2 linked regions of the Lytechinus pictus genome follow. The protein of the gene in region 2 interacts with the protein of the main gene of each other region in a pairwise test. Links are inferred from orthologs where the notes say so. Each region holds a gene or a part of one and is shown on either strand. Other genes may lie near its edges.

Evidence for each region.
Region 1: the proteins of serine/threonine-protein kinase PAK 3-like (region 2) and cytoplasmic protein NCK2-like interact in a two-hybrid assay, tested with the Caenorhabditis elegans proteins (2 studies listed by BioGRID). The link is inferred for Lytechinus pictus from reciprocal best matches to the Caenorhabditis elegans genes pak-1 and nck-1.

Annotation. Positions count from the first base shown.
Region 1 is NC_087260.1:16,432,236-16,435,995, reverse strand, and holds the start of cytoplasmic protein NCK2-like, read right to left. Parts: upstream 2,563-3,760; 5' UTR 2,556-2,562; coding exon 1,566-2,555; intron 1,028-1,565; coding exon 824-1,027; 3' UTR 1-823.
Region 2 is NC_087260.1:19,732,798-19,736,557, forward strand, and holds the start of serine/threonine-protein kinase PAK 3-like, read right to left. Parts: upstream 2,928-3,760; 5' UTR 951-2,927; coding exon 743-950; intron 1-742. UniProt on the Caenorhabditis elegans protein: Required for hypodermal cell fusion, together with cdc-42 and ced-10, leading to embryonic body elongation, which involves dramatic cytoskeletal reorganization.

The sequences.
Region 1 (3,760 bases), about 3.3 Mb from region 2:
CAGTGAATGCAATTTTTGGAAGAATGTAGTCAATTTGTTATCACTTGGGCCATTCTCTTTCCAACTAAACCAGTTCGTACATGTTGGTGCATTACAACGAAAACCTCTATGGCTTTGAGAAAAGGTGAAGTGTACTAACAGGAGAAAAGGACACTTCTACTCAGTAGGATTACACAATTACGTACAAGTACTTTGTTAAATTCAAACCAGAAAGTTAACAATATTAGGGGGAAGATCTTGGACAAAAGCAACACTTGGAAAGTAGACAAAAGGTTTCCATAAGTTTCTTTGAAGGTCTGAAATAAAACTGACATTAATGCTTTTTTTCTTAATGCTCGATGATCCCCAACAGCACTTCATTCACTAGTCTGTTGAGTCTTGCAGCTATCACAAAGCCTGTGTATGAAGCTCATCCTATCATGATTCATATAGCACAATGTCCTAAATGAGGAGGCTCTTGCTGGTCAATAACTAACAGTCCAAGAGCTACATGTACATCTCAAGCATTCTTCATGTGGTTTCTTTGAAAACACATGTGCATGTACATTGGAATCTCACTTTGGTACATGTATATCAACATAGCACGGTGAGTCCCACAAGGCTCCAAGTTGGGACCTATGCAGTTCATTCTCAGAGTTTATTCATTCTTTACTGTACTCTCACACTCTCTTTCTCCCTCTCTCTCTCTCTCTCTTTCTTTCCTCACTCAATAAAGAAATGTAATCCCTCACAGGCGAATAAAAGATATTAATGCACACCCAGGCAGTTTTTCTTCTGTTCATGCTGGGGTATTTTCAGCGTCCATTAGAAATCACCCTTGACATTAATTTCTCTGATTCGGCCGTGTTAAATACAGCTTGAGTTCGCCATCGTCTGAGCTGAATATGGGTGAGCGTTTGTAGTGGTCTACGAGGTCATCTAATGACTCAAACTTCCGCTGTCCGATACAGAACTTCTTATCTGACCGCGTCACTTTGAAATGCTTCACTCGATCTGGAGCCTTCACAGACACAGCAAAGTCACCAGGCTGCGAAAATGAATAAAAGATAATAATTGTTCTTATTTCGTTTTTCCAAGGAATCATTTGATTTCAACCTTCTCAACTACTTCCTACATCATACTATGATACTGATGATTAAACCAATATTTAGAATGTTTTATATTCATAATTAAAAGTTTTATTGATTTCATGATTGTTTGTTGATAATTAGATTTAAGGCAGTGCTAAGGTTGAAATTTTGCTTTAATAATGTGCAGATTATCCCTTGAGACATTGTATTGAGAGATAATATAGAATCTTGAGATTACATTGCTAAACCAAACCAAAGTCCTAAAAATTTTGCACTGAACCAAAAAGACATTAAGGGTTGATGTATCTTATATATCTCAAACATGTACATCAACTTTAAAACTTCTGAAGAAATATATAACATGATAAATACCAAAGTCCATTGAGATTAAATGGCCCTAGCATGTATTTATCAAGGTATGGTGCCCAAGTGAACTTGGAGCGCACCCAGTTTAGACATTAAAATAACCACTTCTTTAGGGTAGCCTGTTCTTACCATTGTTTCACTCTCTCGTATGAGGAATAATCCACTTTCTCCAGGACAGCTCAGAATCTTCTCTGAATCCCCTCTGGTAATTCTTCCATGGAACCAATCCCTATCGTAAAATCTATCAGAGGGCGGAGCAAAGTTGTTGTCGTGCTGCGGCAAATCAATGGGTTTCGGAACAGCATCCTCAATAAAAAAATTTGTTGGGCACACAGGGTCCGCATTCTCTACAACCTTCACATAGTTGCTCGGAACTAGTCCTGTATTACCTTTCTTGTTGCGTGCTCTCCACCAGTCCTGATCGTCGGAGGGATTCGATATAATGTCCAGCGACTCGCCGTTTTCAAAATTTAATTCTTCTTCAGTCCTTGCCTTGAAGGCATACAGAGTTGTAACACCCAACACAAAGTCATCTGGGATGGAGTTGTCGTCACCTTTTGAACTCGTGCTGGAACCGTGACTATTTGGCATATTGGTGTCCTCCTCGCTCACATAATTTGAGGGGAACCACCCACTCTGTCCATTGCACTCTCCTCGCCACCATCCGTCCCCGGACTTCTCCAGAACGTTCACTTGCTCACCTTTGACCAGGTTGAGTTCGTCGCCTTGTGCGGCTTTATAGTGGTACATGACCCTTGCGAGTTGTGAGAATGGCATTTCGCCTCCGGTTTGGGCCGGGTGTGGATGTGGGCTTTCGCTGTGGGGCGGGGAGATCGGACGCGATGCCGGTTTCTGTACAGTACGCTTTGCAGAGATCCCCTTCCGGATTCTCTCCACGAGGCCGAGTTTGTCTCGCTTCACATAGTTCGAAGGGACATAGCCACATTTGCCATTCTGTTTCTCCACCCTCCACCATGATCGGGAATCGTCGATCAGCTTGAGTTTCTCGTTCCGTTTGATGCTGAGCTCTTCTTCTTGCTTGGAGTCGTAGTCCCATTTAGCGACTACCAACACAGCCTCCTCATCCGTCATCTCTGTAATAAAGATAGAGAAACACATTAATACCATCTACGATCTCTTCAAATTATTTGCCTTGTATACATTGTATATATCCTTTCGGCTTTGCATTATCAAAGATCCCATGAAATCGGTCTTTGGACTATGATTACACATTTTTTACTGCACTTATTGCAAGATATCCGGGACACATGATTGTTTTGAATAAGGATTGACTTATTTATTCTTATTTGAAATATTCATGTACATGTAGGACTTACATGTGCATGTAATAGTTTCTTGGTTGAGCTTTTATCATAAAAAAAATCAAGTACCAATATGTTCATAGCAACAGAAACCACGATATCTGATTGAAAACAAAAATAATCATTATCGAATTCTAGTACATGATGTCGATATTGAGCTTTCGGGACAGGGGATACATGGACATGCTTTTATAAAGAGCATTCAAATACATGTATGCACTGAAAAAAAATTGATAAGGTCACGTGTGCAGTTTACATGTACATGTAATCTACAAGCTGTTTTCCTTTTTTTCAGATAACCAAATTTTTGGGAAGGGAGGAAAAGGAAAAAAAATGGATCCTGGTTTTCAGGAACTGTAATGTAGTAATTTTTTCTACATGTAATAACCAAATTGTTGTTCCAAGTACCAGTCTATTTTTGTAGTAATCAATGAATTCATTACATTGTACATTCATAGTTCACTAATTCTGCAAATTCTTCTCCATTGTGTTTGCCCCTTCTGCCATACCTCTTAATGAATTTTTTTTTCTTTTCTCCTGTTTTTACACAAAACCCCATTCCCATCGCCCCCCGCTCTCTCTTTCTCTCCCTTTTCTCTCTTGTACATGTATGAACGCCAATCCTTCATTTTACTTTCATATGGACTGCAACACATTTTGATTGAACCAAAATGGGTTCACACTTTTCAACCCATAATCAATTAATAAATTCAACACTGTATCTCTTTTGTTCTTGGCATTTCAAAGTATAAAATAATTCATAAATCATCTATTATTCATTCCATCACCATCTTCGAATCGATCGTGGACTGGATTAATCATATTTGGATTACACCAATAGAATGTTAAAATGAGTCGAAGCTACACAATGTGTGCTCAGAGTGTATTGATCACAATACACACACAAACATACATTTACACATGTATGATATATGCATTGATCACTATATGTACATGTATGTATTGATCAGTACAAAACATTCATAGAGAATAAAAATATAA
Region 2 (3,760 bases):
TTTCTCCATCTCGCCTGAATGCGACAGCTTCAGATTTCTGTCCATGAGGCGTAAAATTAGCCCTTTTCATTAAAAAATAGTTTGCAAAACACCTATCCCCTTATTCTCCTAAATAACTCTCACATTTCTCGCGATTTTTTTTCTGGATGATTTACAACATCATTGAGGAAATTGCTGTCCCTTACAGCATAAAATTTCATTTTTCACTATTAGTTTGAAAATCCTAAAGGCTATATTCCTCCTGCCTCACACAAGGACTACTTTTGCAAAAAGTACCTACAAGTAATGCTGCCCCCACAACATCCCCACTGAAAAAGATACTTTACCAAAAAAAATACAAGAAAATTCATAATGCTTCAGTGTATCACGTTTTGGCACACTTTTCTTCCACCTCACTTCTCTTGAATAATTTCAACCATGCTCAACATATTTTCAAATCAATTACAAGTTGTGTACAAAAAGATAGAAAGCACAGGCTCCAAGAACAGTTCACTCTCAGTGGTAATTGATAAAATGTAAATCCCCTGCCCCCACATATTTGCACCTAAAAATAACAGATGGAAAAACCTTTGTAAGCTGCAAAAAACACCTGCAGTAATTTGCTGTTGGATTCAAAATAAAACAGACTTGAATATATATGACCTGATGTTATTAAATACAAAATAAATTTTAGCGTATGAATGGAAGCCTGGAAAATACCCCCCCCCCACAAAAACATTAATTTTCCCCAAATTGACCCTACCTTTCTCTTCACTCTTTCCTCCTTTAAGTATATTTTTCATCCATTTCGTTCCTTTCTTCTGTTCTTCAGGGGGTGTGTTGGGGAGGGGCTTGGAGCCGGGATTCATGACGTCGAAGCGGGCTTCGCGACTGTTGCTGCTGGAAACTCGAACGGGTGGTGCGGGCGGACTATCGGTATAACTCTGTGGATCCGACCACTGTGAGCTCATTTTTGGCGGACCTACAGTAGAGGGTGGCAGAGAGGAAAACAGAGACGGAGAAATAATGACAAAATGTTTGAAAATAATGACATAATTTCCTGTTTTCGTCTTGGCATGTAATTCCTGGTCTGAATCATTGTGTGCAAAACAAAGCAATGTTGATACACATACACAGCACAGAACGTTACAACCACAGGTTGCCCTTCCGAAGATTTAAAGTGAGTTTGAATGTGTAGGCACAATGTTTATAATTCAAAATACACTGCGCGGTTCCTGTTTCAAACATTAGATTCAAAGATAATATTGATTGAACGATTACATTTCTTTGTGTATGGTACAACAAGCTACATGTAGTTACCATAGCAACAAATTCAGACATTAGGCCAATAATATGATATAAAATTAATGTTCCTTTTTGACATCTTTGCTCACAGGACCTTTCACAATATACATGCAACCAAGCTAAAAACACTATTGAATTTTCATTAATTGTGTTTAGGAAAGGAGAGAGAAAGGTACATAGAAGCATTTCAAATATCAGTAAGGAATAAACATTAAAAATTACAACAACAAAAAAAGAAAAAGAAAATAAAATTTTCATGGACTCTTTTCTCATTTTTACATTTGTAAAAGGGTTTTTCTCACATTTAGATTATACAGGTAATCAACCATATCTTGTTTGATTGTTTAAACAGTTAATTGAGAAATGAATTGATGTGCCAAATAGCTGTACTGCTTTAAGGGGAAAATCTTCTTTTTTTTCTCCTGAATTGAGCTGGCACTTGGATGATATTACATTATGCATAAGGACATCCAATCAGACGGCCTCTCATGAAAGGGTCCTGATCTACATTCTACTGGAATTATTTCCTTTTCAAGCACTTTAGCCTGGTCACAATCTACCATTCACCTGTTATGCCAATAACACTACACAATAAAAACACAAATCATACTATAGTTGAAATGTTCCGTTAAATACAGTAGATTGAGATGTACAGTACATGTACAACATGGTACCCTTTCCCGGAGCCAATGCTATTATATAATTGTCCTTTATTTTAAAATGCACTTTCACAGAAAATCATGCATCCAAAGTTCCAAAACACACATACATGTAGTAATACGAAGGTGAAAAGTACAAAGTAACAAAGAGTTCTTCAAATTTAGTCATGTTGTGGATCTTTGATTTGAAGTCATAATGTTAGTTTCTGATTCTACATGTACATGTAGCTGATGGGCAATTCTATAAAATGATCAATCTTTTTTTGTATGTCAGACCCCCATTTTTCTCAAGTCTTACTTTACTTCATAAAGTGACCAAGTCATTACAGACTGTCAGAAGAACAAGAAATCATAGACAGAAAATTTCATGAAGGTCGTCCTACATATAGGGGGTCGGATGTACATATTTTATGGAATTTCCCTGATATAAAGCTGTCTTGCCAAGTGAAAATCAAAAATATGGAATGATTTCAGCTACATTCAATTTTGATACCCTGCGTTGTCCCTGTTTAAATGCAGTATCCTTGCAGGTAAATCTTTAGTAATTTGTGCACAAGGTAGAATGCATCTACATAGCATGTACATCAACCCAAGTACGCATAGTTGAGTATCCATGCTTACATCATTTTGAAATACGTCATCCTCATATCTTTTAATACAACCATGAACTAGCCACCAATGATCATCTATACATGTAATGCATCTATAATGTGGAGAGTCGTGGCCCAATGGATTAGTCTCCGGACTTTGAAACAGGGTCGTGGGTTCAAATCCCAGCCATGGCGTAATTTCCTTCAGCAAGGAATTCATCCAGTGTGCTGCACTCGACCCAGGTGAGGTAAATGGTTACCGGCAGGAAGTAATTCCTCAAAAAGCTGTGTGCACCTGATAGGTAGCCTAGCTTAGCCGGGTAATAATAATAGCAGGGCCCGCTGGGAGAACAGTTTTCGGAACTGAAGTGGCTACCCTGGGTAAATATACCGTTATTATCATTATTATGCATTAATTTTAATCAAAAATTTAATAATTATAAATATTCCTATTGTTAGAATTTCATTTTTAAATATGAAATTAAAAAGCTAGTGGGTTTTATAACAATGTGCAAGAATCATACATGAAAGGGGATGTTTAACATAAGGAAACTTTATTGTAAAAATATCAGAAAAATAATTTTTATATAATGAAGAAAATACGTCAATGATTAAGAAAGTTATTGGAGTTTCAAGTTTTTAATTTGTGACATCATATACGAGCAGCTGCCCCATATGTTATTTTTAATAGTTCATGATGAGGAGCGGATGTGAAATAATTTGTTGATATACTGAAGGCACAAAACACAGTTTTAATTTTTTTTAGAAAATGAAATTTCATTGATTTTTTACGACATTATATATAGGGAGGCTGCTTGCATATGACCTTGCAAATAAATCTTAAAAATATTCAAATAAGGATTTGAGGAATATCCTCAAACATTCAATAATGTGTATTATTTTTTCTGCTATAATACAATTAAACTTTTTATCAGGGTGAACTTCCCCTTTAACTATAAAGACAAGACTTGAAAGTGTTTAGTTAATGGTTTCTGCTTTTGTTAATACAGCACTAGGCAGTTCAAATAATGCTCTCATTATAAGATTCAGTTGCATTAAGTGGTGATTTATTTGAATGTACATTTCATGTCATATGATCTACAAGTAGTTCCATACATTATGAAGGGAGATACATTGTAGATCTATATCAAACACATAGGTTGGAATACAAACACATAGGTTGGAATACAAAATGGCAGATATTTCAATCTCTAATAAGTACTGAAT